Linked DNA regions of Astyanax mexicanus. The protein of the gene in region 1 purifies or fractionates together with the protein of each later gene. This does not show direct contact. Links are inferred from orthologs where the notes say so. Each region holds a gene or a part of one and is shown in the gene's direction. Other genes may lie near its edges.

Region 1 (6,913 bases):
CTGTTGGGTAAGTTAGCGATTTACATCTTGAAGACTTTTAATAGGTGCCTTACTGATAAAACTGAAACCAAAGTGCCTGCTGCAACCAAGTCTTGCTGCAGGTCTTTTGCAGACACAGAAGGGGGTTTGACCACCTGCTTGTGGTAGCTAGTGGTAGTTTCCTTTTCTGACACATACTCTTTTAACTAAGCCATATTTTAACATGCAATTTAATGTAACAGTCAACAATCTCCAAGCTAGTCCAGATATACACCTAATGCAGTTAATGAAGCCCCTGATCTATTTATTAAAATGTTAGAGATTGCATAATATTAAATTATAGGACTCTGAAAGACACTTTCTTGTGACATGTTTCCAAGAATAGAGCAGTACCAGGGGGATATCTGAGCTAACTAAGCATTTTCTCCTGCTGAGAATAGGTTGGGGTTGTGGGAGAAAGAGGTGAATCTTAACATTTTGTATTATTTTATGTTTGCTTGGCCCCACCCCCGGGTGAATTGGATCAGACATCAGGAGATGTTCAGGATCATGTGAAAACGAGAATTTTGTCTCTTTAATAATTTCATGAATTGTGCTTATTATTACCAAAGCTATTGACAGAAAGGTAAAAGTTTGGCTTTCAGGTTGACTTTTAATTGACTTTATTACTTCTTGCTAATATGCATTTTATCCTTTACCACTAGATGTCACTCCAGTGGTTCACACACTCAACCAGACGCCCGTTAAACCCCAAATCTCAGAACATCCAGCCTATAAAAGTGAGTAAGGCCAGATTCACACTACACGATTTTAGGGGCAGTTTTTAGTCGCCAACAGTTTTCCCGACAAAATTGCCGACAAAAACTTTGCTCGGGGGGAAATCGGGGATCACTCTGCGCTCACACTGTCACGTAGTGTGATCTACTAAAAGACAATCAGTGTCGGATGACTGATCGCTGATGAGTTGCAGAAACCCGGCAAATATTCAATGACTGACCTATTCGTGTTTAATATCTGACTCAGTCGGCGACTAGACGTCAGGAGCAGCATCTACATACAGCCAATGAGATCACAGAAAAAGGACCACGAGTCCAAAACACACCAGAGCTGTTTATGGAGTGTCTGACCACCCTACCATTCCCCCTGTTATATCAGTAAATGACTCTAGAGGGTGAGTGAGTGACTCCTCTATAAATTGGGTGAATGGAGCTAAAAGCTAAAAACTTTAAATTAAAAATAATTATGAATTACTTGTTCTGAATAATTCTTTAATTTTAGAAAGTATAATAATACATTTTACTAAAAAAAAAGAGAGCATGCCTGTATATTTCAGTTTATCTAAATAAATCATATTTTACATTTTTAAAGACTAACATTACTGTTACTGTAAGTTGATTGGTTGGCGAGCTGATCCTGGAGATACAGATAAACATGTTTAAAAGGCTTATAACTGGAGTTCAAAACTATAAAAAAATAATCTGCAGAACTGAAACATTTGACATAATTCTGTGTTGAGGACATAAGTACATATTTCAATATATAACTGATTAGTTGCTTCATATGAACCCGTTCATGTTGGACTCATTGCGAATGCGCATTTTCCTCTATAGAGATTCTCTGGCATGGCATTGCTAGTTCTCGTGTGCGTTTAGTTCAGGTATGTTCTCGTGTCGAAACGTGTTTCTGGAGAGCAGCCAGGTGAGTCTGCGATTTCCCACGATGAGAAATTGTGTAATTTGTGACCCTGTGTCGCTGATCAATCATTTAGTCTGAAAGTCTCAACAACTGAAAGACTCACGATTATAACACAAGGGCATCACTAGTGATAGGGTAAGTCCTAATGAGTGGGTTGAGTAATTGGCTGTGCAAATTGGGGAGAAAATTATAAATAAAAAAATCAGATTAGATTTGTATATTAATCCCACTTTTAATCTTCAACACTGAAAGAAACTGTCGTTTTAACATAACATGGATATTTTCTTTTTGCAGATGGCAATGATTTCCACCTGGACCAGCCTTGCTGTCGTGCAATTTACAACTTTAAACCAGAAAATCAAGGAGAGTTGGGCTTCAAGGAGGGAGATTTCATTATTCTCACCAACCAGATTGATGAGAACTGGTATGAAGGCCTGCTCAGTGGAGAGTCAGGCTTTTTTCCCATCAGCTACGTCAAAGTACTTGTACCTCTGCCCCAATGACAGAAGCTCATTAAGGTGCATTAAGGCATATTATGAACTCTTGAAGTCCCTGATGTTTGAAAAAATGTGATCAGCACTTTTTATGCAAAGAATAAGCTTCTTTTACCACTATGCAATGTATCCAGCCTTGATCTTCTCTGATGTGTATGTTGAACACTGGAGAAACTATAGGACATTTGTTTTATAAGCAGCATCAAAAGCAAACTGGTGGTTTAAATAATGGTATACAGTAGCCATATATAGGATTCAAAGCCTGTATCATTTTGTATCATATACAAATTTTCATGTTCAATTTAAAATATATGCAAATAAACAGCGCACAAATGTGCTGTGTTTTATCATATAAAAATATGAAAATGTGATACTGCTGTTTTTTATTATATAGCCATGCTGGTAATTATTGTGCCTGATTACGGAGTCAGGGTTCACTATGTGATTTAGGAATAAGAATAAAATATCTAAACACAAAACATTTTAACGTTTTTTTCCCCTCAATTTGAATAAATTATGTGCAAATGTTTGTGCACCCTTCTTTGTCTTGATACAAATACACTAGTTATGCACAACCAACCACATGAGGCACCACAGCCACAGCTGGCAACACCTCTGCAACCACCTGATACACCACAGCAACCAACTAATATACCATATCAACTGCCTGGTAAACATGTTACATAACATTAGCCACCCCTACCAAGACTATCAACCATCTAGAAATCACTTAGCAACTATCTGTGATACCATGTCAACCACCTAGCAAACACAGTTTCACACTAGTGATTACAAAGCAACAGCCAAACAACTGCATAGAGGTGTGAATCACTTATCTGATCAATAATATATGATCAACTACTCTGTATTTCCTGTGCAATGCACTTTTCTGGTTTTATATTTCTAGTGGATTTCTTCAAGTTTATATAGTGCCCCATTGTTTCAATACACAGGTAATCATGTCAAAATCTACAGTACCAGACAAAAGTTTTGACAGACTTCTTTTCATTCATTGTTACATTGTAAATGTAATATTGAAGACATTAAAGTGTTAAACAAACCAGTATGTTTTATACTTCCAAATAGCCACATTTTGCTTTGATGTATTTTTGTTTACTACTTTCCATACGTGTCCTATATATGTCCCCTGTGGTCATGTCTTTAATATTAATCTACAATGTAGGAAATACATTAAATAAAGAATTAAAGTGTAACACTATTATTATTATTATTATTATTATTATTATTATTAATAATAATAATAATAATAATAATAATAATAATTATAATAATTATTTAATTTAATAATAATAATATTAATAATTAGTAGTAGTAGTATTTGGATAGCACTTTTTATACAGAAAAGCAGCTCTGAATGATTTGCATGATGTTTTATAAGAAAAGAAAATTAAGCATTTAAGATATCATTGTCATTAAAATATATTAACATAATTTGGGAAAACTGTAAAATAAAGCATTAAAGCAAGTTAAAACAAGAAAAAAAACTAAAAAATACAAACGGTTAGGCTATAAATTAATATAAATTATAAAAAAGTAATACATGGAAAAGCAATGGCAGTAAATATTTTATATATTTTATTTTTTATTAGTATAGAACTATCTGGTTGTATCCAAAATGAAATGACTTGCTGTAAAACGGGCAATGCTGCAGAATGAATGAAGAGTCTAAAGAGTCGACTCTTCATCCGACTCCGAGTCGGAGTGCCCATCCCTAGCTTTGACCCTGCTGGCGTGCCGTAGTGGCGGTTCCCTCGTCAGTCTGCAGACTTTCAAACACTTTGAGATATTCGGAAAAAGTGGGAATTATTATAATACTGAGCGCCGGAGGAGAAACTGCTGATTAAACAGGGATAACTGGACTCGGGGAAAAGTGCTTTATCTATAAATTCACGGTAAGAACTGAACAGAAGCTTTATACACAGAAACTCCTCAGAGATGACAACTTAACGTTACTTCTGCAGGCTAGCAAAACAGTGTCGGACTGGGTATAACCTCAGCTAGCCCTACAGTTCTGTAGAAAGTCTGAATCAGGGGGATTTTGGTTTGGCTATTTATGTAACGTTCTATGATACAATACAGATCTTTCTTGAGGTGTATGTCTCGGTTGTAACGTATCCGTATCTAAATAACTAGTTAGCTAACCTAGCTAAGCTAAGTTAGCTCACCAAATTAGTTAGCGTTAGATTAGCTAGACATCTGATTGTTATTGAAACAGTGGTGTAGAAATGTTTGGGACCCTGAGGAACTTGTAATAAACTCTTTATTCTAACCATAATAAACACACACAAGCACAAATACTGCAAAATTAAGAAGGTTGGGAGTTAAATTATTAATTATTTATAAGCACAGTTGAATTATAAAAAATACAGAAACCTCAACCGCTTTATCTAAAACCTTCTCCAGCCTGTCAACATGGAATTAATTTGATCCCCAAAACTGATGAAATCTCAACAGGTCCCAAAAGCACATTTAAACTTTGTGCAAAATCGGTGACATGTCTAACCCTTAACACTAATTTCAAGTACAGCAACTAAAATTAAAATAAACATTAGCCTTAAGGTTTATGATTTCACATGGGAAAAAAATACAGCTCTGGAAAAAATGAAGACACTTTAGTTTCTGAATCATTTTGTCTGATTTTGCTATTTATAGATATATGTTTGAGTAAAATAAACAATGTTTGTTTTATTCTACAAACTACAGACAACATTTCTCCCATTTTTTTAATAAAAATATTGTCATTTAGAGCATTTATTTGCAGAAAATGAGGGTGAAATAACAAAAAAGATGCAAATATTCCTCAAATATTGCAAAGAAAACAAGTTCCTATTCATAAAGTTTTTAGAGTTCAGAAATCAATATTTGGTGGAATATTTTTTAATCACAGTTTTCATGCATCACCAGTCTTTATGCCACTCCTAGTGCAAAAATATAAGCAGTTCAGCTTGGTTTGATGGCTTGTGATCATCCATCTTCCTCTTGATTATATTCCAGAAGTTTTCAATTTGGAAATGTCAAAGAAACTCATCCTTTTTAAGCAGTCTCTCATTTTTTTCCAGCATTGTATATGTAGTACCAGTCAAACCTTTGGTTTGATGTTGTTTTTTTCCCTACATTTAAAATTAACACTAAAGTCATCTAGACTATAAAGAAACTCATAAGGAATCATACAGTAAACTTAAAAATGTTAACCAGACCAAAATTCTCTGTGAAGCATTTATGTGGGCTCTTACAGCATTGAGTATATTTTCAAAGTTCAAAGATTTTTTGGGAGCTTGACTGACCTATATTTATCATATCATATTACTTTTTACTTTGTTGAGTACTTCTCAACAAAATAGTTTTCTATTTTTACTGATCAAATTGTTTCTTTTAATATTTTCTTTGTTACTTTACAAATGTTTAGATTGTACAGTGTGCTTATATTATGTCACTTTCAGGCATATATCTTATATCTCTGATTGATTATTATTCAGGAGACTGCAAAAAGTTTCAATCTTTTAATAGAATCACTTTAAAAAAAAAATTTGATTCTTTTTTTCGTCATGAAATTTTGACATCAGCTGCTAGATTCACTTTTTGTTTTTAATGTGGATCACAAAAACAAAGGGTAGATTCATCAAATGAAGTAAGGCAGTCTATTTGAGTTTGGCTTACTCAGCAACAAGGCCTGTGTGAGCTGTCTTATGTTACAAATTATTCCAAACCATTCAGGGGAAACATTTAATTCACTATAGGTCATTTGAGCTCAGAGCTCTGTGTTTGGAATGCGTCTAACAGCTGTTGCTTTTTTTTCCTTCTCCTTTAGAGAGGTTTGCTATGGAGGAGCTGACCCGGTTGGTGTCATCAGGTGACTGCCTGAAGATATGGGACTCAGCCTCTATGACTGTAGTGGAGCAGTTCAATCCCCACAGTGCCACCCACCCTCTGGCCCAAGTATGCTGGAGCAGCAGCAGTATCCTTCACAGCTGTCTTTATGTTTTCTCTGAAATCAAGGGTTTTATTAAGAGGTCTGTTTCTCTTTTGATCAGGTAACAATCTGTACGTATTTAAAAAAAGCATTAGTTTCATGATTAATTCTGGATCATGAACAACACTGCAGTTTATCTCATATGAAATTAGAGGTGCTTTACTTGATATTTAAAAGATTGACCCAGTATATTAACTCAGTTGTTAATCATTGTCAGTTTATTTTTCTGAGACTCAGGGACATGCCTGATTTAAAAAAATGATTCTGTAGAATAATTACACTAATTTGTGTTGTACCTTGACACCAGTCAGATCAGTACATTGTCAGTGCCAGCAGTATAGGAGACAAGCTGGTGGTGACTAGCCTGAAGTCTTCACCAGTCCCTGTAATGGAGCTTGCTGAAGGGGTCAGTAGACACACTGCAAAAGGTAATAAGCACTTAAAGTATGTCTTAGTACTCATATGTGTTGTATTTGGGATTTTGCTTTCAGAAAAAGCAGACACGGGTTGCTCTAAATTCCACATCACAGTTTCTGGTCAGTGGTGGCCTAGACAATACCGTTAACATCTGGGACTTAAAGACAAAGAGATTGCACCGTAGCCTCAAGGTAACTCACTTTGTATGTTTTGTTTTTATATATATAATGACAGTTGCATGTGGGCTTCTTACTTTAAGACTAAAAAACAGTTACCAAATGCGGGAAAAAAAAACAAACAAACAAACAAACAAAAAAAAAAAAACAAACGTCTTTCT
Region 2 (7,351 bases), on another chromosome or scaffold:
CTTTATTTTCATGACTATTTACATTGTAGATTTTCACTAAAGACATCAAACTATGAATGAACACATGTAGAGTTTTATACTTAACAAAAAATGACCTGGCCTCCACAGTCACCGGAACTGAACCCAACCTTGATTGGGGAGCTGGACCGCAGAGTGAAGGCAAAGGGTCCAACAAGTGCTAAACACCTCTGTGAACTTTTCAAGACTGTTGGAAAACCATTTCAGGTGACCACCATGTTTTCAGTTATTTCACCATTTTTTGTTAAGTACATAAAACTCCACATGTGTTCATTCATAGTTTTGACGCCTTCAGTGAGAGTCTACAATGTAAATAGTCATGAAAATAAAGAAAACGTATTGAAAAAGAGAAGGTGTGTCCAAACTTTTGGCCTGTACTGTATGTGTTTTTATACTTACTACACAAGAGATACAAACTTTATTCTATTGTCTGGACGTGCACAGCTTATATTGATACTACGGTGTTTCTATGTTCTACTGAGAATAAAATATGGGTTAATGAGTTTTGCTAATTATTTTATTCTGTTCTTATTTACGTTCACAATATGTTTTACAAGAGATGTATAGTAATGAAGTGCGAACTACTTCACTACTGTAATTAAGTACTAAGATGCTGTATCTATATCTACTGGTGAACAATTTTTTTCTCCTACTTCTACTTTTACTTCAATAGATATTATGAGATGACTTAAAGTGGCAGTCCTTACTTTTTGTTTCTAAACTGAAAGCAGAGGCATTTCTGAGTGGAGAAGGGATCAAATATTGTTTTTAATGGTACCAGTGTACTGGAAGTTACGTGGGAGTTTTCCTGGTCATGTCACACATCCTTACGTACTTATGTAAAGATAAAGATAAACGTAAAGATGTACAGCCTCTAAAAGAGGATCCGGCTCAGTTTTACTGAATGCGAGCTGCTGGTGGAGCAATGGACACTTTAGAAGAGGAACCTCAGAGCTCAGCAGCTCATTCACTCATAGTAAACCAAACAAAGTAGAAAAGTTTCTGACTGAATGCACCACTCTGAAAGGAATGAAAATGATTCTTCCACATGCTCGGTGCAATTACTTATAATTTTCTTTACACATTATATTTTTAATGTGCTACATCTTTACTCGTAACAATAATAAAAATGTTAGGAATCATTCCAAAGCCACATGAGCACTGCGGTATCAGAGCGGTAGATGCTCTGTACAGTCACTGGGTTTGATAAAGCTCCTTATCATTGCGGGAATCAAGAGATCAAGCTAATCTTATAAAAATACCTCCCTGCCATATTGCCTTTCACTCTGAGAACTTTCCACTGTTTTCTGTAATAACAACAGGACACAGTACTGTACTTTTACTTTCAGTTAGTCAGTACTAAATTTTACAATAAACTACTTGCCATATTAAGTACAAAGAATGTTGAACACTTAAGTAATTCCACTAAAGTCTGGTGCTTAAAGAACACTTCAACTTCCACTTTAGCCACTTTAGTTTTTTGATAGAGCTTGTACTTAAGTCTGAGTCTCTACAACTTTATACATGCCTGTATTTTACATTTGTCACAACGTTTTTTGAAATTGAGATTATAATTTTAAGATATATTTTCAAATCCACCTGATCAATGTTCAGTCTATACAGTCCAAGAATGAAAAAACTAAGCTCCAAAACCAGTCTTTCTCATAATTTCTATTTATGTAAAGTCAATAAAATATTTTCTTTGCACTTTCGCATATTATACAGTCTTCTACAGTTCAGCCAAACCAAACCTACTCATCCCATTCAATCATATACGTTTGGAAGAGTGCCATGATCTTGAAATAAAATCAACAGAGGGCAAAGGGCAAAACAGAATAAGGTCATGTATGGTTTTATATCTACTGTGTATATATAATCATGTCTTAAACTGACAGTGACTAAAATAAAACATTTCAATGTAAGGAGAGGATGAAACATGGTCAGATAAAAACATGCTGTCTGTTTTTGACCCATCAATTCATACAAACATCACGAATGGAGGAAACAAGGACAAAAAATAGGATACAGGAGTCGAATAGGATTCACAAAACTGAGCAAACCAGTCAGCTATTTTTAGCTTTTGCTCATTTGCTCATTTGGTTGTGCACTATCACTAAGAACAACAACATCCCAACACTGAAAATACTGTAATATGAGCCTTGAACAGCCATTTGAAACGGTTTCATTGCTCTCTGGTTTTGAACCCTCCACAACCTGATCTGTTCTTAGGTTTTACTTAAGCCTCTATTTTTCTATTCTTTAAAAAAATTCTTCTAGTCTTAATTCCACCTCCAGACTCAAATTGGACCCTCAGCCAGAGCCCAGACTATCTGTCAGGCCTTACTTACCTTTACTCTCTGCTGTGTAAAATAATCCAACTGTGAGGGACAGAAAGAACAGCCCGGCTCTCCTGCTCCTCTCTCTCTCCATTATGTGAGCATGACACAGGCTTCCAAAGCTGTTTATCCAGACAAACGTGAGCCGTAGGTGTGTATTTGATACCGTGTGTATCAGTCCTGCAGGTGAGCTCAGGTGTGGAGCGCTGTACAAGGGAGCTCAGGTAAAGTGGGAGGGCTGGAACTGGACAGGTGGGATGGGTGTTGTTGGGATGCTGTCAGCTCAGAATACCACACAACACTTATGCCATTATCCAGACCGGTCAGGCAGGACGGGCTGCAAGCTTAACAAACCTTCTACTGAGCACTGCTGGATAAAAAAAACTTTCACTGTCACACTATCTGCTATCTTTAAAGACAAAGACAATCTCCATTTGTGTAGAACTTGGATGGAATTTGACTTCTGCCTTTAAGCCATCCATGCATGTCCTTCTTGGCAGTGCTCTGGAAAAAAGGAGGAAATGAGGGAAGGTTGGGGTTCTTGCTTAGGGACCCAGCAATTCAAGTAGCTTGGCAAAGTCCAAACACCAAATTCCAACGATAAAATATTGTCATTAACAGCATTTATTTGCAGAAAATGAGAAATGGTTGAAATAACAAACAATATGCAGAGCTTTCAGACCTCAAATAATGCAAACAAAACAAGGTCATATTCATAATGTTTTAATGTTTGAGTTTAGAAATCAATTTTTGGTCGAATAACCCTGGTTTTTAATCACAGTTTTCATGCATCTTGGCATGTTCTCCTCCACCAGTCTTACACACTACTTTTGGATAACTTTATGCCACTCCTGGTGCAAACATTCAAGCAGTTCTGTTTGGTTTGATGGCTTGTGATCATCCGTCTTCCTCTTGATTATATTGCAGAGGTTTTAAATTTCTTAAAATTAAAGAAATGCATTCAATTTTTAAATGGTCTCTTATTTTTTCACAGAGCTGTATGTCTACATTTTGGATCATTTCTTTGTCTCTGTTTGTTTGCCTGTATGATCATATGGAAAAAGGCTCTCCATAAAACAAATTTTGGTTTTAGGTTGAGAATACCCACTTAAGTATCCTTTCCAGGTTTGAGTCCAAAATAAGCCGGTTCATATGGAGCAAATGAACAAAATCAAGTTTTATATATGTTTAATAACTTTCATACTAAACAATGTGCTCATTTTCTCAAGACAGTACAATAACGAATGTTTTAGCACCACATACATATTTTTAAAGCTTTTTAACTCCAGGTTAATGCCATTGCTCTGACTGTAATTCCAAAATCAGCTTACCAACCAGCCAATTAGCTCACAGTAGCAGTAACCCTAGCGTCTTTACTGCCCTTTACTGGAGAAAAACAAAAAAAATCAGTTCGGTTTTCTTTGTTGTTGTTTTTTTGTGAAATACTTAATTTTATTTTCCATAATTAAATGGAATATCCTGGACAAGCGATTAAGTACTATTTTTATGAGTTTTAGCTGTTTAGCTCCATTCATCCCCATTCATTTTGGTCTTACTCGCGGGCTTCCTCTAGCGGTTGGCAGGCGTTCAGTAAAATATAGTGGGGAAAAAGAAGTGGATAGGTTCTTAATACATCAGCTCTTTTTAGGCTTTTACATTAAAAGAGCTGTAATTTGACATAAAGTAAATGTGTTTTTTCTTCTAAAGTCAGTTTATTTAGTCCTCATAATCACAAAATATTGAAATGTACATATTCCAGAAAACAACAACTGTTTCTTTCTTTTTTTTTCTTTTTTTTTTTTTAGAAAAAACTATGTAAGGTATATTATTCTATAGCACTGACAATCGATCTTTTTTCAGGAAGTCTATTATTATTATTATTATTATTATTATTATTATTATTATTATTATTATTATTATTATTATTATTATTATTATTATTATGGGAATTTTAATCAGGCGCTTGGGTGCGTCCTCCGGCTCTCGGGTCCTGTGGCTGTAGGTGAGTCAGTCGCAGTGTGATGAGTGAGAGGCAGCAGCACCTCGGTGAGTAGAGTGAGATTTCATTAGTCTATATTTATTTTAATTTACTAGTTAAAGCCTGTAGAGCAGAAGTATAAAGACTCCTCTCACAGTTACAGAGTTACAGGAGTTCAGTGTGTCCTGCTGCAGGGCGCTGGAGAGATCAGAGCTTCAGTCTTAAGAGTTAACGTTAACATCACATAGAGGCTCAGCACTGGAGCTTCAGTATCATTACTGGTGTTAATATAATAATATATGACAATATGTATTAATTATAATAGTAAAGTCATCGTTTTCACGCAGTTCTGCTGTTCTGTGTTCTGTTCACTTAGCTTGATTCTTATTTAAGCTCAGTAACACCAGGTTAACTCAAGCACTGCTGAATTCACTCGATTTAAAGTATTGATCTGATTTTTAATCACTTAAAACTGAAATAACTAACCTACATAAGGCTGGTGTTTGCTGAGCTTCAGGATGACAGTATGTAGGCTGTGCTGGTTTGTTGTTCAGTTGTTTTGTAGCTGTGTTGGGTTAGCTGGATCAGTAACTTTACTCGGTGTGTGTCGCCGCTGTGTGGGTTTCGCTGATCTCCAAATCATCTCCCGCTTCGCACCTGCAATCCCCTGCATGAGCTGTAGATCTACATCATCCACATTTAAAGCAGTAGTATACAAAGTGATTTTATACCTGATAATTAAAGATTTGTATTTATTAATTTATTTAAAATGAATGTGTTCGTTTTTTTTTTATTTTGTGTTTTTTCATATCCACACCTTCCTATAACAATCTTCCTTAAACTCATTTGTTCCAAGTTTTTTTTAGGAAACACAAAAAAAAAAAACATATGACAGTTCTTATGACTTTAAAAATGAGCAATGGTTTAAGAGAATAGTTTATCACACAGTTGAAAAGTAGAACCAACCAAAAACAGTCTTAATGCAACATTCTGTGAATATTAATTGAAAAGACCGAAAACAATTAGCTTAACATTTAACAGCCACAAATTGTAGAGCATTTGCAGCTAGCTTTTTGGACGCATCTATTTTACTGACAGAAATCTATGCAATATTTACAATCTATTAACCTTTATATTATAGTAAAAATATCATTACTCACCAATTAGGGAAAACACTGAATCATTGAAAGTAGCCGCCATCTTGGAAAAGTATTAAAACAATAAATATGAAATAGATATTGTTTTAAAATTTTACAGTTTCATTTAAAATGAATATATTTTTTCTGTTTCTTTTGTTTTCCTTTTTTTTCATTTTGACACCTTCCTAAAATAATTGCTTAACTAATTTTTTTTTACTTTTTCAGAAAACATTAAAAAATCATATGACCGCTGTTATCAACATTTAAAAATGAGTGATGGTTTAATAGGATAAGCTTAATTCTTATTTACAATTCTGAAAAAACTGTAACATTTTAAAAGCCTTAAATTGTAGAACACTTCTAGCTAGCTTTCTGGACCATGTGTCTATTTTAATGACTAAAAATGCAGTTTAAAAATGAAGCAATGGTTTGAGAGGATAGATTTAAATCTTTAATTCTGAGAAAAAATGGATTTAAAAGACAAAACAGTTTTAACATTTAACAGCTACAAATTGTAGAACATTTCTATCTAGTTTTGTGGACTTATCGTATTGTATTTTGCTGTCAGTTTTACACAGTAAGTCAGGTCAGTAATTGCACTCTTTAACAGCACTGCAAATTATAGTTAGTTTGTTTTAGCGGTTGATTGTGTTGGATATCTTGTTTCTCTCTCTTTTATGTGCTCTAGTTGGTTGTAAAGGTCAACTAGATGTTTTAGCTTGTGTGTAAGCCCCCCCCCATCTGTTTTCTACCCTTAGCCCTTCAAGTTCATTGTGATTTTATTTATGTTTATGTATGTATATTTATTTTATACATGTGTGTGTATTTATTTTATATATGTTTCATATGTATGTTTATTTATTTATGTTTTATATAGGCATTGTAATAATTTTGCTGCCTTAATGTAGAAAATCAGTAAAATCAGTTTAGGAGCATATAATAGCTTTAAGTTCTCTAGCCATCTTATCAGATGGATGCAACTGTGTCTTTTACTTTACAGATGTAGCTTTATATCCCTACTATATTTAGCTTTATTCTTTATTCGATTTTGTATTCTAGACTGGGGTAGAAAAACTGTTGCTTTTGAAACATGTTAATGCTTTTAAATTTTTTTTTAAATGTATTAGTATCTGTAAATCTACCTGAAGATCTATCTGAGATAGTCCTCATCCTTCTACATTATTACGTCCTCATTCTGCAGTCTTCCAGTCTCGCTAGCACCATGATGCCACCACCACCATATTTAACAGTTTAACGCATTAACTGCAAAATACAAAAAGAGGATATTAACATCAGTGATAAAATCCTAAATCTGTGCACCCTTTTATTTAAACATTAATACAAGTTCATATAAGTAAACTAAGTGTGTGTTGTGTGCATTATGTGTTTGTTCAGGTGCAGGATGAGTGTGAGTAAAGGAGCTGTAGTGTGTGGAATCTCCTCGTGGGTCTGCTCCTCCAGCTCTCAGATCTCAGACATCATCACCACTGTACCAGAACCTCAGCAACCCCAACAGCAGCACCAGGGGGGAGATCAGCAGGATGTAGAGGATGAGCTCGGCCCTGCTGCACAGTAAGACTACATATTTTTAAACAAGAGTAAAAAGTAGCTCAAATTGGGCTACTAGTAAATGAATGAATAAGTAAATAAATATCCTATATGACTCTTCAGTGAATATTTCTGATGGAGATTGTTACTCTGTGAACTTCTGTTGTAGGTGGGAACCTGTGTGTTTGGAGCGTGCTGAGGAGGGGTCACCGTGTGTCATCACGCTGCTGTGTAAGCCTGATTCGGGGGCTGTTATCAGCAGTATTGTGGTGGTGAGTGAGGCGCGCACCGTGGAGGTGTACTCTCTCTCTGGAGATTACTGCGGTACCTGT
Region 3 (8,016 bases), on another chromosome or scaffold:
GATGTTTTGATAAATCATCGCATTCAAATGATCCAATTCATGCAAATATCCATGTATGATAATAACACACTGAAGCGCATCACATTTATAATACACAGCAATACCAGTAACACAAAGCCAGCCAGTATAATAACCAAAACTCAGCTTTAATCCCTGAGGGCAGCAATACAGGACACAATCTCTCTCTCTCTCTCTCTCTCTCTCTCTCTCTCACACACACACACACACACACACACACACACACACACACACACACACTACTGGTGTGCCTACAGACTCAGGTGGGACAAAGTGTATTATTGAAGAGGATAAAATACTCCTAAATAAGCAAATATCAGGAATTATGGATTTATTAGTGTCAGATTCACAGAGCTTAACAACCAATATTCTTCACTGAAGGTTTACCTTATTCAGTGGACTTAAGCGCCACCATGTGGATTAATGAAGTGGGTGTTTAGTTTCAATAAAAATATTCATGTTTGACACCACATATTGATTATGTAGCAAAAAGGAAATAATATGATATCACGATAACAGTATTTTTGGCCATTGCTCACCATGATTAACACCCCCCCCCCCACACACACACACACACACAAACAACAAAAAACATACTGTATTTATTTAAATTAAAATCCTTTCATTTTCCCAAAAATTGGCAGTGTGCTTTATGTATAAATTTTACCAGTCAGGTATTAAGGAGCAGTAAAGCCACTCCACTGAAGTGCAGCACTATAAGCATTAGCATTAACCGCTAACCTCAGCACTAGCTCTTTTACCGTTCAGAGGTGAGTATATTGGACTGTATTCTGTGTGTTTGCCGTGTTAAAACAAGCTATGTGAGATGAACCGCAAGCTAATAGCATCATGGGTTACCGGAACACTCAGGGTTCTAGCGCTGCGGTTAGCTGCCAATGCTAATGCTGCTGCACTCAGCCTTAGTGCTGGAGAATCTTCACTGAAAACTCATCCTTACACAAAATATTGGAAATCTAAGCTTACTGCAAATGAACAAAAGCACTTTACTCACCCAAATATAAGGTATTCAGGGTAACATTTTTCTTATTTTTTTTTTTAAGGCGGTTTTGTTAACTGCGCTTCCCCAGCTTCCCCATTAGAAGGGAAACATGCACCCTTGCTCACTTTGATGTAGGCATCCCTACTAGGGTCGCTTAGTGTGCCTTATGATCCAATGCGCCTTATGGTCCAAAAAATACGGTATAAAGGTGTAGGCATCCTTAAGCCGTCCCCTTTTTACGATTAGTTTGCACAGTGCGGTCCCATGACTGTATACAGGCCACACTGTCTGTCTCACCTGAAGTTAAAGGTCTTTTCCCCTTCCCTACGATTTCACCTCTCGTCTTGTGAACACAAACATCAGCTTCGTTCACAGTGATCCCCTCTGCCATCTCATTCACCTTGTTCACCACAGGCTGGGGGTATCTACAACAAAAGCACATGTTTAAAACAACAGCACTGTGTAGCTAATGCACTTTAGCAGATAATAAGGGTGTAAGAAAATATCAATACCATTTCACACTATATTGTTTGCGATTACTTTCAAAAACACAGACTTGAATATTAATAAGTGGTTTAGGTGTAAAGTTTGGTGTCACACAGTAGTTAATTTAAACCGGATCTGATTGAATGAAAAATTAACTATTCTTATTCATGTTTTATTTTATAATAACAATGTTTTCATTCTATATGATTTTTTCCTTATATTTGATTTAATCTAATCATTTAATCACAATGTCACTTTGTTTAGAGTGCGGCAATATATTGTGATGTATTGAATCGTGATCCCTGTGATCTGCTATCTGTGCCATGTTATCTATTTCTGCTTCTTGTAGGTACAGCTGCTAATCCTACCTTTCTTCATCATTTCAAAATGATAGAAACAGCTGAATGAGGGATTATAAATTACCTCAAATTGTCTAGAAGACATTTACATACAAAATGTTCTGGTATTTAGTGAGTAAATATGTAATCTGTTGTGTTTTGTCCCTTATGGAGACCAAGTTGAGTGTAAACTGTATGAGTGAGTTCATTAACCCCCTCCCTTTGTGTTTCTATAAAGATTGCATACAAGGACAGAATGCTTACCGACAGCCTAGGAACACAGAGTTGGCCCAAACCTTGGACAGAGAGAGGAGTTTATCGAGGCTAGGGCTCATGGTGCCCGGCTGGAGGTTTGGAAACGTCTCCAAGTTGCGAAGGACAAATTCACGCCTGGCGAGCCACTGCTTACTGGTCTCATTGTGCTCTTTTAAAGACTCCACCCATTGTGCCAGGTGCGGGTTTTGACTAAGGAACTCAGAAACATCTCCATTCCCTTCTGCCATCCCTAAAAAAGTGGGTAAAGAATACTTTAGTTAAAGCACAAAATGACTGTCAACTTATTATTATTATTTTTTTTATCTACTCTTTCTCTCACACCCACAACTATATACACACAAACACAGCCAGTCCTTCTCTCTTTCTCAAAAGCCCATTTCCTCTTTCCAGGTTGTTACATGTGGAATATAGAGCTACCAGCAATTAATTCTTATAATTAATTACTGTTTTGATCAATACAGATTTTGTTTTTAATAACACCACTTACATAAGTATAATTTTATTTTGCAAATCTATAAATGCTTCTTTTGTTTACATTTAATTAACTATTTAAAAAATAGTCTTTAAAAAAAGAAAAGGCGAAATTCATCATGCTTAAACAGAATATTTTTTTTAATCGTGTAACACCACTAATCATAACATAAAAAAAACGAATGAAGCATAAAGGAAAACACCAATCATTCCATCAATTAGTTCTAAACTGTGTTTTGACCTGTTGGTATTTTTGCTATAACGATACTTTTGCCGATATGACAAAACATTGATATTAAAATAAAAATTCAAAAATACATTACTGCAACAAAAAGAAAATAACATTTTATTATTGCATATGATATTACATAGAACACCCCTAACTGAGATATTAAATAATACACAAATTTTATCAGGTTTGTAACAGAAATCAATGATCCAGAATGTGATGATACTAATAATACACTCCATATATCTCCATATATCCAGGATTAAAGTAAAATAAATGATACTGGACAGATGTAATCTTTGTCTAGTATATATACAATTGAAAATGAGAACAGTGTGATATTTTCTGTCTTAAAAATAGTAATAAACTAGTACCCTGATGTGATATTTATGGGTGGGTGATATGGCACCATATTTCAGGGTCTTATATAGTTCACGATATTCAAAAATGTTGGCGATATTATTTTGTTCAATGCAATACAGCACACCTCTAATCTGATATATTTTGGATGATCAATTGTTTGAGATAATTATTGAGATAAACAATACTATTGACAGTTTTAGAGACAAATTATGTCATTAATAAAATAATATAAGATAATCCATCTCGTCTCTTGTAAAGAATAGTTAACAGGCAAATATTCATACATTGGGATGTGAATACTGATAAAAACACAGTTTAAACAAAGCTGATATATTGACTCAGTCATGTTAACACAAGGGGTAAAAGAAAGTTCAGCAAGAACTGGATTTACTGTAGATCCATTTTTAACTTATTTAAAAGAAAAGTCATGTTTTAAAAATGCGAAGACATTAAAGCTATAATAAACAAAGATACTGGAATCTGTTTCTGCAGTGTATCTGTACATTATCTGTAATATCCAGGTAAAACTGTCCGTGTAATTCACTCAGCACTGCTGACAGAACAGCCGGGTAAAGTAATCTGTAAACATGAAGCTCAGCTTCCTGTTGCTCCCATTAAACCAGCTGTGATTAATAACGTTACCTATATGACTGTCTCCCCCCCACTCCCCCCCCCCCCCCACACACAGTTATTCAGGTCCAGATTACAGACAGATAGATTAGTTTATTTTAGTTAGCTAACTGAGTTCCCTACAGTTTAAACCGCTTTAACCATCTTTAACCATCTGCCTCCATCTGTCCAGCTGTAAAAACTGTAAAAACACAGCGAAGCTAAATAAGCGCCCAGACAGATAAATACAGTAAACTATACACATATATTAATTACAGCCCATAATACCACATCAGCAGCTGCTGGTCCCCTTTATTCTCAGTACAGCGCGTTAGCAGCGGCAGGCTAGGCTATCTGTTCGCCAGTGTGTGTGATTAGAGGCGCCTGTGATTACTATATTATATACAGCGCTGAGCTGAGAGTAAAACCAGCAGCAGTAGGTTATCCGAGTCCGGAAAAGCAGAAGGTAAAACCAGAACCTTTAGAGAGCCTCTTTTCGTCGAGTCCACATAACAGGTGAGGATTAAGTACCAGCCAAAACAATATTAAGGAAACCTGGAGCTACAGGACTACATTTCCCATGTTTCGCTTGAGCCAAAGGACTACATTTCCCGTATTTATAAAAAACTTTGTTTTTAATGTTTTAAATGTTTATCTTTTATGAATTCTAATTATAACTTTGACCTCATATTTAATGCATATTTGACCATTTTAAATAAAAAAAACATACAAAATAGAATAGATCCTAAGATATTTTGCAAAAATGTATTCTTTTAAATATAGATTGCATTTCTGCCAAAAAAAAAAAATCTGTAAAGAAAATGAGGAAGCCTTTCGAGTTTTTATTTCTATGTAAGTGTTGTACTGTCGTAAAATTAATTATTTCTGCACAACATATAAGAATAATAAGAATAAAATAAGAATTAAAAAAAATCTAATTTCGAGCTTCCCACTTGTAAATACAACTCGTTGTTCCAGTGCAATTTCATTTTTTTTACTAATAGTTCTTTCCTATTTGCAGCACTGCTCAAACGCAGCATAACCTGCTTTGATCTAACATTAAAAACGGGTTATTATTAAATATGTGTTTTTGCAAAAGCAAAAAGGGACGAACTCCTAGCTACGTTGAGCTAAAATACTACAATTCCCTAGTTATGATGAGCTAAATGACTACATTTCCCTAGCTGCGTTGGGCAGAAGGACTACATTTCCCGGCGCCGGGAGGCTGTTTTGGCGGTGTTGGTGTTAGCTGCTTTAGCTCGCGCTGGTTTAAGTTAATGGATGCAGTGGAGTAACCGGTTATTACTGTAAATATTAATAATCACCTGTAACCATGATCCACGAGCTTCTGCTCGCTTTAAGTGGATATCCCGGCACTGTTTTTACATGGAATAAGAGGAATGGATTACAGGTAACGAGATGTGCATGAGATAACTTACCCGTTAACCAGTACTCTGTGTTATTAAATATTACTCTATAGTAAGCTGCTGTAGATAAATATTAATTTAGTCCAGTGTGATATTTGTGTCCTAATTCACAGCTGTGTGGAAACCCTTAGTGTAGAAGAGATCGATCATCTCATTCATTCATCATACTGAATATAATTATTGATCATATTCAACTAGTTATTCAGATATAATCACTAAAAACTATGAAATATTGGTAATAACAGTAATTGTTGCACTGTTGTCTGCTGTTTATAGTGCACAGACCAGGCCACACTGACTTCTTCTATACACTGCACTTAAAGTCAAGTCAAGTAGTTTTATTGTCAATACTGCATATGTACAGGTACATACTCTCCTTCCCAAAGTTACAACAAGTAAAGCAAATATATTCATATACAAATATGAATCATAAAAGAATGAGAGATACTAAATGCACAATATAACAAGGTCACATATATAGACATACGTGAGACAAGAGACAATAGTGCAACAGTGATGGGGGATTAAAGAGGGAATTATCGTACTGTTGTAAACAGAACCCATATAACAGTAATGCAACTATAGAGGTATAAAGCTAAAGGCTCAGAAAGTAAAACGAGTGCATAATAGTTCCAGTACTAAGTTTCAGTACTGTGTTAAATCCTGCATTAAGTTCAGTAGTGTGTTGGTACTATTCATTCACTTACATTCACATTACTACATCTTTTGGATTTATGTTTGGCGGTGTTTCTCAAAACACTACAGTATTAGTCATTTTAGTAATATATGTGTAGAAAGATAGATCATTAAATTGATCCCAAAGGAAATTAGGGCATCCAGTAGCTTAAACAACACATTGTACAGTCATAAACACACAGGAAGTATAGATATATAAAACTTTGGTAGAACAGTGCAGTAAATCAATCAGCCAATAAATAATCCATACAGCAAAAGTGGAAGTTGCAGATGACACTGTATTTGGAATAAAGTTACTAGGTGTGCTAATATACATGTAACAAAATGTATATTAATCATGTGCATGTACCCATAGGTGCATATACTTAACACGGGTGGATTTTACCAACACGCAAAGCAAAAACGAAAAAAATATATATATATTTTTTGTACATGCAAGTTTAGCTAGGCGAGGTAGACTAAGGTAGCTTCGGCACAACCATAAATTGGTCTTATCCCATTGGTGCCCAAAAAAAGAAAGAAAATTAAGCAAAGGAAGTCCAGCACAGAAAGCTTAACAAAGCTCACCAATTTTTTTCACAGCAGCAAGAAAAGAATCGTCTGGTGAGGATGAGGCACCAGAGACAGCTAGGTCGTCAGAGTCAATATTGCATTTTGCTATACAAAAGAATCCATTTGATCAGGGCCCCCGGAAAAAAAACATTGCTTGTGGCCCCAGAACTTCCAAATCCGCCCCTGATCATCCATACCTGTGGGTGACTGACCCAGTCTGTCTGTTGAGCAGGAGTCTGACACTGAGTACACTCCTCTGCTTCATTAAGATGGTGTGCCGTGAGTCACTATCATCGCCTGTGATAGAAAACGAAGTGTTTTCTTACAAAGTTTAAATTGTAGCTCCTAAGATAAAGAAGCATGGCTGTTTGCTCTCCATATGTACAGACATGGACAAAATTGTTGGTACCCTCAGTTAATAAAAGAAAAACACACAATGGTCACAGAAAATTTGAATCTGATAGAAGTAATAATAATTAAAATGTTATGAAAATGAACAAACGAAGGTCAGACATTGTTTGCAACCATGCTTCAACAGATTTATTTAAAAACAAATAAGCTCATAAAACAGGCTGGACAGAAATTATAATACCTTTAACTTAATATTTGCTTGCACAACCATTTAAGGCAATCACTGCAATCAATTGATTCCTAAGACTTCTGCACCTCTCAGCAGGTATTTCATGAACAAACTGCTTCAGTTTTCTCAGGTTTGAAGGGTGTTTTTTCTAGACAGCCTGTTTCAGCTTCTTTCAAAGATGCTCAGTTTAGGTCAGGGTTAATAGAAAGCCACTTCAGAATAGTCGAATGTTTTCCTCTTAGCCATTCTTTGGTGTTTTTAAGCTGTGTTTTGGGCTAATATCTGGTTGCAAGGCCCATGACCTGCGACTGAGACCAAGCTTTCTGAGCAACACATTTCTCTCTAGAATCCTTTAATAGTCTTAAGATTTCATTGTACCCTGCACAGATTCAAGGCACCCTGTGCCAGATGCAGTAAAGCAGCCTCCACCATGTTTCACAGTAGGGACAGTGTTCTTTTCTTCATATGCTACATTTTTCTGTCTGTATTCTGTCTGTCTTCCATTTTTCAGTCCATATGACATTCCCCTAGAAGCTTTTTGGCTTGTCAACATGTAGTGTGGCAAATTCCAGTCTGGCTTTTTTTATGTTTTGTTTTCAGCAATGACGTCTCCTTGGTTGTTTCCCGATCTGACACTGACTGTTTCCTGAGCTTAAAGTTCACCTTTAATCTCTTTACTGTTTTTTCTTGACTCTTTTATTACCATTCGTATTATCTGTCATCAGTTGTCATCAATTATCCTCCTGCCGCCATGTCCAGGGAGGTTGGCTACAGTCCCATGGATCTTAAATTTCTGAATAATATAAGTAACTGTAGTCACTGGAACTTCTAGCTGCTTGGAGATGGTCTTAAACCCTTTACCTTTAACATGCTTGTTTTTACTTTTCCTTCTAATCTCCTGAGACAGCTCATGTCGTCAAACAGCGCAGTGACTACCTGTAGCCCTGTATATAGGCCCACTGACTGATTAC
Region 4 (7,168 bases), on another chromosome or scaffold:
TCGAATAGCCAAACTTTGTTCACCCCAACATTCTGAAATACAGCGCTTTTAGCCGATGCTCCCAACAGGCTTTCAATACTAGAGATTGGGGCATAATATTTAGCTTTAGCTTTCTTGGGAACATTCTGAGGATCCTGACATTTAAAACGAGGCACTGAGAACTTTAATAAGTGCCCATCTTAAAATTACGTCATTGACGAGTCCAAACATATAGGTTAATAATGTAGAAATATTTTCAGCAAAAATTGGAATTCATAAAGTTCCATGGCTTATCGACTTATCGTGACTTAATTTCAAGATGGTGATGTCTGAAGGAGGAACTACCTCAAGGTACTGTGTGTATAAACTGTGTTTTTTAATAACCTGTTTTAATAAATCTGTGCACTTTCAAAGTTCTCACTGCCTCGTTCTAAATGTTAGGGTCCTCAGAATTATACAAATACATTTTGGAGCTACTTTGAGCTTATAAATGGTGTAAAAATAGCCATTTCTTTGCATGGACAATGCCCCTATCTCTAGCATTGGAAACCTGTTGGGAGCATCTGCTAAAAGCGCTGTATTTTGGAATGCATGAACAGAGATGGGCTATTTAAAACAAAAGTTTGTATTCATTATCATGTTTCACTACACACCAAGTCCATTAAAGGGTTAAACACTACAGAAAGCATGAGCAAGAGAGGTCCCCTCTGCAGGACATGAGGGCTCAATTTAACCAAAGGAACAAATCTACACCAAAACAAATGCAAGACCATTTAAAGAAATCTTTGCTGTTATGCTAAAAAAATGGCAACTATACAGGAGAAGGAAGAAGACTAACTGAACTTCAATTAAAAAAAAATATTCCAGCTCATTTTGGAGCATTTCTGTTGGTCCATTCATTGTGACATATTGACATGGTGTGAAAAATAAAACTGCCAAAAAAAGTTTTTTTTTTTTTTTTTTGCAATACAGCTATGACATTAATCTTCAGCCTCATACTTCACACAGACTAATGAGCCTGGGTCTTTTTTTACTTATATTCCTTACAAGGAGCACACACACACTGCAAATATATACGCACATGTACACACATCTCCACAAGGAGCAACACAGACCTTAATTAAACTAGAAAACCAGAAAAAGCAACTTGACAGTTGTCATGATTAATATTGCATTGGTTGACCACAAACAGATGCTGTGGGTGTGTGTTAGCAACACGCCAGTGCCTCTCATCGGTGTGCGATTGTGTTTGAAGCCAAATTTTACAGAAACTAGCTTCACTCTAACAGTCCCATTTACCTCCATCTCTCTTTCTCTTCACATATACATTGATATGCCACATCAGGTATTAGTATTCTGTCCATTGACTTTTGCTATATCCCAGGAAATGTGTGTTCTACTGTGGATTTTACTTGTCAGTTCATACGGATAGTTCTAGCCAGTGATTCATTACTACTAAATGCACTGTTCACTGTGGTTGGCCTTCTATGATGTATTGCGAGCGGTATACACAACACTGTGGATTAAAGAACGTTAAATGTCTTCACATCTTCATAAATGAAATGTCCCACCCCTTTTGCACCCACTATCAGACCTCGCTCCACCTCCAATAATGAGCACACTCCATGAGCACACTGGTAAATATTCAACTTAATACATAAGATAGCACCTCACAGCATATATAGGTGTGGCTCTTGCCAAGCCGTGCACTGAGGTTATATTTCATGATCAGTTTGCATACTGCTGTTATTCTATGACATTTGGCATGTCAGTGTATTTCTCTGTCTCTATCACAGCATGTGAGTCATGCTGGCAGAGAAGCTAATCTAGCTAAACCATTATACCCAAATAAAAACTTGTAATTTGGAGAGAAAAAGAAAAAAATAGAACAGTTTGAGTTTTTCTTTAGTGAATCTTGGAGTGAATTATAAACACATATATTGAAATGCTTGAAAGTCAAGGAATTAACTGATTATTCAGTAACTTTAGTTTACGATATTTGCTAGCTTCAGTTGTCTCCAGTGCTAACCAATATGTGTTTAGGTTTTATATAAGGAGCTTTATCCAGTTATCAAGGATAACACATTGTCAACACTTTAACCCTAACCTTAATATCTTCAAAAATCTATGGATAGAGCAGTGCAACAAGATCTCAAAATAGCTAAAATCCCCCAAGCAATAAATAAAAATCATGCTGCCTCCAAAAATGTCTAAATGCTATGTTACTTGCCAAACAGAGTGTAACTAAACGATCGTGTAGAGTGCCCAGACTTTTCAGCTTCTTTGCCATTTCCTTTTTTTTTATTGCAAGCTGTAAAAATCGTGGGTTCATCTAATCTAGGGTGGTTTGTAACTTATGAATTTAATACATCTTGAAAGGATATCTGTTTCTGAGCTAAATCTTAAGCGAATGCGGGTCCTGCAACAAGACAATGACCCAAAGCCAGAGGTCTTAAGTCGCAGGAGTCAACCGCATATCAATAACGGCTCTCTGATGTTCTCTTGCAGAGAACAGGTCATTCAGTTTTTAGTGTGGTACCTCTCAGAAATAATTTTTTTGCAACTTGGGATGTCTGCAAAGCACACAAATCGTTCATACAAAGAATGAAAACAGAAGAATACAGCTCATGTTTTGGAATGGTCAACATCCTGACCTTAATCCAATAAAAAGATGACCTAAAGTAAGCAATTAATTGGTTAAGGAAATGGACGAAAAACTCTTCAAAGGAAACACAAATATTTAGTTAGTAGTTATTGCTGCACATATAGTTTCACAATAGCGATCAAACTAGAGCTTAGATCAGGTCCAAAAAAATCCAGCCCTACCTGGCCCGAGCCCATTCTGCCCGAGCACAACCTGACCCACCCCATAAACTGTTATTATGTGCCCAAGCACATAAGGCTGTTTTAATAAGCGAAATCTGTTCATAATGTTATTTAATTATTTAATTTCAACACTGAAGAATCATAGACCTATTATTTAAGAAAAATGTTTGTTAAGAACCGATCTTCGAAAGATTAAAACTGAAAAATGATCCACAGGCCTAAACATTGGTAAATTGGGCTACAAGGATGATGTCTGAATGATTTCCCTTTAATCTAATATATTTTAACATGGTTTAAGAATTTTAAATACTTTCTAAACAAATTTACTTTTTGGTAATTTACTGGGTAATTCCGCGCTGTTGGGTCAGAGAAAAATATGAGAAAATATGCTGTAAAAATACGGCCGGAGTTCGCTGTTGTTGCACAGAAAATAGTCCCCTCCCAATCTCTAAGCTAATGCTAAACAAAAGGCAACATGCGCTGTGTGACATCAGAGTTTTCAGAAAGCTCAGTTTTCCCTGTCCACAAGGCTCCGCCTTGAAAGGCGTCTTTAAGTGCTCCGTTTTCAGTGACTGAAGTCGCCGTTTTTGTGTGGACGGAAGGCCAAAACAGAGAGAGAAACCAATATCCAGCTTCGTGTGAACGGGCCCAAAGTGCGAAATTCAAAAAAGCAATAAGGCTACGCACTGCACAATCATTACACCGAAATAGACCAAGAACAATAACATAATTTACAATGACTTTCCTCTACTTTAATATAATTAGGTTCGGCTCGGGCTCGGGCAGATAGATAATCTAAATTCTACATCAACCCAGCTGAAAAGGAGGAAAATGATTTAACTTTTGTTTGTTACATAAAAATATATATTACATAAATATATGTAACACTGGATCATTTTCCTCAAAAATTAAATGAGCATGTATACTAATTTGTTCTACTTTTAGGACTTCGTAGGAAATCTATGGAAGTTTTGAATTTATCGGTAAGAAATACAGAATTTGCTAAAGGTTTCACAAACAAGCCACACTGTAAATAGAAGAAATAAATAATGATAACATTGATTAAAATATCTATGTTTAGGAACGTTTAGTCTTTGGCATTAATGCTCTGACTTTTGGATGCTACTGACTAACCTGCAGTAACAGTATTTTCAGAGTTATTAGCAGTGCTGGTTTAGCAGTGCAGAGAGTTACTGGTAATTCCTGAATCATCCGCAAGTTGGCGCGCTTTTAAACCGGAAGTGTTCACTACCAGCTTAACTGTCTTATCCAATCGCAGCTCAACACAGAGAATTTCACCCAATCATGCCCCAGGGAGGGAGGGGCTTTGAAAAGTCGCGCGGTCGCTGAGTGGAAATGACAGGAAATAACAGCAGTAGTGGTGTTTACAGTGTGAATGAGAGTAGAGACGCGGTTCTGGAGCTTTTCTGCTGTAGCGGCGGGCTGTACTGAGACCTGCCGCCGCTGCAGCTCCGCGGTCGGGGCTCATGGAGCCGCTGTGAGCCGGACTGGAGCGACAGACCTGCAGCTGCTGCCCAGAGGAAGCGCGGAGAGCCCGGGTGAGAACCGAGAGCAGAGCCGCCAATGTCCTCCTACTGCTGGAGCTCAGAGTAGATAAACCTCCGCGTTTAACAATCTGAACAGAACCTGCTTCACTCAGACAGAGCCGGAGAACTATATAACAATAATAACACCATAACACACTCACTCACACATACAGCTGAATTATAACACTCTATAAACCAGCTCTTCTGAGAGGCCAAGTGACCCGCTAACATCACTAGGTTAGGTTGGCTAGCTAGTTAACGGTTGTTCATCTTGTTAAATCTTGGAGAAATATAGTTAACTAGCTATAAGCAAATGTTTAATAACCTCCCTCATTCCTGATGTATTCTTTATATTCACTAATAGAGGCAGAGTATGTATGTTATATAAACTACACTGTCTGTGGCTGTGTTTCATCTATTTTGGCTCTGTAAACAAAATATTTGTAGCATTATCTTGAATTAATGTATATTTATTTAAAATATTGCCAATATTATTATGCCATTATCCATGCTTTAATAGTTATAACCTTATCAAGTGATGCTCATACAACATGTGAATAAAGTAAAGTTATGAATGTAGAATAAAGCTCTGGGAAAGACATGATTTAAAAAATATATAACAGTGCCATTGTTTGCATGTTTAGTAATAAAATATTTATTGTTTTCATATACAAAATGACAGTATTTGTCAGTATTATATTATCACACCCACCCAACCACCACACACATATCTATATATAAGCATATAGTCCAATACTTCAATACCAGTCCTTATCGATCATGACTCATCTGCATAAGTCTTCAGTTCTGTTCAACCATATTCTTATCAGGGGGTGTATTGAAAAGAACATGGTACAATATTTACCTGTAAACTAATAATGCAGGGTTCTTTCACACTTTTCTTTTTTGGTCTGGACTTTCAAGCATTCACTTTGGACCAAAGTAGCAGGTGTGAAAAAGGCAGCAAGCCACAGTCTGGAACAAACAACCAGAGGTGTTCTCCGTCCAGATCTTCTGAACCATGGTCCGGTTCACCTCCAGTGTGAAAACATGTTTCTAGATAGTTCTGACTTTCTGACCAATTGCAGGTAGTTGAGGCCATCTTTAAACAAAACAAACGAAAAAAGAATCGTGTGTGTGCCAAAATCCGACCCTGCCTGGTGTGCAGGTACATCATGCAGCATTATAGACAAGAATGCTTAGACTGGCAATTAATTTATTTACTGTAACAGTAGATTATCCCTTATTTATAATCAGGAATAAAAGAAATCTGAGGATAATATAGTCTTTTACACTCAATTTGCTTGTCAAACTCATAATTTACATAATGTTCTACAAACCAAATAATATTAAGCGTAGAGAGACTCATGTTCACATAGCTGATAACAACAGGATGTAGTTTTTTAGTCTGCTCGCCAAACTGCAGTGTGAAACCAAAACCTTGATGAACCGTTCCAGACTTTAAGGTGTCAAAACACCCTAAGAATCAATACTGTTTTTGAAAATTGCTACTGTATTGCAATACACTATCTCAATACTTATAATAATATATTTAACAATTAATCTATGAACTCTAGCTGAAGACAATTTTAAACAAACTGTATTCAAAAGGAAGTGCATAAAGAATAAGCCAACATTAAACAAAACACTTTTAGCAGTTGTCATTCCTGCTAACCAAAATGTATGTACTTATTTTGACATAGGCAAAGTAGAACTAGCCAGTAAAATATGCAAAGATTTTTTTTTTTAAATTGAGGCTTGTAATCATAATGTATCTGTGCTTGTGTTTTCTCTTGCAGGGCAGATGATCCACTGATCTTAGTGCCAGTACCTCACCATGTACTGCTGCCAGAGTTCTACTGAAATGTCCACTTGTTCCAGCAGCAGCATTACAGAGCTCCTAGGGGCACTGTGTGATTGCAGCCTGTCTGGAGTATCATGGAAGCGCCACTCTATGGGCAGCGTCTCGAGGGAGGCGTTCCGCCGCACCCTCCGTAAAAGAGCCTACGGGGCACTGCTGTCCAAACTCTTCCAGGATGGCTCTTCCAAATCCAGCCTGACAGCAAACGCTTTGGCCAGCACTCCCGCCTACAACAAGATGCTGATGATCTCTTTCGACCTGCGTGTCTCTGGCCACACTGAGGAAGCGGAGAGGCTTGAGGGCCTCCTGGCGCAGCTCCGTGAAGTGGCCCTCTCGTCTGGCCTGTCCGAGGTGGACTCAGTCCTGGAGTTCCTGGTGCAGTTAGCCGGTTCAGTTCCTCCTCCAGCACTATCCTTCAGCAGAGACTACATGCGGCGGGACCGGCCGGTGCTCCGCAGACCACCGCTGGGGGGTTATCTCAGTCAGGAGATGCAGAAACTGGAGAGCAGGGCGTGGGCTCTGGTGTGTGAGGAGGAGTGGGGGGCATTTGGGGGTATGTGTAGGACCCTAAGCCTAATGGATGCTCTACCTGGAACCGGTCTTCCAGGCCTGGGCAGGAGAGTGGAGGTGGAGGAGAGATTTGAGAGGGACACCAGGCTGTCCTTGTTTGGAGCCCTGCAGCACTTCAGAACAGCAGATCTAGACATCCGGCTGGACCTGCCACCGGTGCCCAGCAACGCAGAGGTCACTGGCCTCACTATTCGGGTATGTAAACAGAAGCTTAATATAGAGAGAGAAAGAAATACAAGAGAGCAGGTAAAACTAAAAACAAAGAATTAGCTTTTAAATTCATACAGAGCTTATAAAATTAATTGCCACATTGTGACAGACTATTTTTTTCTTTATTTGGCTTATTACCTTTTAACAGACCAGTGATGGATTTATCTGTTTTCAT

Evidence for each region.
Region 2: the proteins of nedd1 (region 1) and c15h10orf88 purify together in Homo sapiens (co-immunoprecipitation; 3 studies listed by BioGRID and IntAct, counting the BioPlex papers as one, with this or other methods). This does not show direct contact. The link is inferred for Astyanax mexicanus from reciprocal best matches to the Homo sapiens genes NEDD1 and C10orf88.
Region 3: the proteins of nedd1 (region 1) and tubgcp4 purify together in Homo sapiens (affinity purification with mass spectrometry; 3 studies listed by BioGRID and IntAct, with this or other methods). This does not show direct contact. The link is inferred for Astyanax mexicanus from reciprocal best matches to the Homo sapiens genes NEDD1 and TUBGCP4.
Region 4: the proteins of nedd1 (region 1) and tubgcp6 purify together in Homo sapiens (affinity purification with mass spectrometry; 3 studies listed by BioGRID and IntAct, with this or other methods). This does not show direct contact. The link is inferred for Astyanax mexicanus from reciprocal best matches to the Homo sapiens genes NEDD1 and TUBGCP6.

Annotation. Positions count from the first base shown.
Region 1 is NC_064417.1:36,561,883-36,568,795, reverse strand, and holds the start of nedd1 (protein NEDD1), read left to right. Parts: upstream 1-3,899; 5' UTR 3,900-4,081; intron 4,082-5,997; 5' UTR 5,998-6,008; coding exon 6,009-6,144; intron 6,145-6,470; coding exon 6,471-6,565; intron 6,566-6,650; coding exon 6,651-6,767; intron 6,768-6,913. Other genes in the region: sh3gl3b (endophilin-A3b), read left to right, coding at 684-758, 1,969-2,177. UniProt on the Homo sapiens protein: Required for mitosis progression. Promotes the nucleation of microtubules from the spindle.
Region 2 is NC_064422.1:21,124,851-21,132,201, reverse strand, and holds the start of c15h10orf88 (ATPase PAAT), read left to right. Parts: upstream 1-4,331; 5' UTR 4,332-4,400; intron 4,401-6,866; 5' UTR 6,867-6,873; coding exon 6,874-7,043; intron 7,044-7,188; coding exon 7,189-7,351. Other genes in the region: zgc:174164 (disintegrin and metalloproteinase domain-containing protein 9), read right to left, coding at 2,367-2,448. UniProt on the Homo sapiens protein: ATPase that regulates mitochondrial ABC transporters ABCB7, ABCB8/MITOSUR and ABCB10. Regulates mitochondrial ferric concentration and heme biosynthesis and plays a role in the maintenance of mitochondrial homeostasis and cell survival.
Region 3 is NC_064430.1:32,433,675-32,441,690, reverse strand, and holds the start of tubgcp4 (gamma-tubulin complex component 4), read left to right. Parts: upstream 1-5,011; 5' UTR 5,012-5,123; coding exon 5,124-5,201; intron 5,202-8,016. Other genes in the region: CDKN2A-interacting protein, read right to left, coding at 1,316-1,443, 2,107-2,345. UniProt on the Homo sapiens protein: Component of the gamma-tubulin ring complex (gTuRC) which mediates microtubule nucleation.
Region 4 is NC_064409.1:46,359,644-46,366,811, reverse strand, and holds the start of tubgcp6 (gamma-tubulin complex component 6), read left to right. Parts: upstream 1-4,157; 5' UTR 4,158-4,364; intron 4,365-6,151; 5' UTR 6,152-6,189; coding exon 6,190-6,978; intron 6,979-7,168. UniProt on the Homo sapiens protein: Component of the gamma-tubulin ring complex (gTuRC) which mediates microtubule nucleation.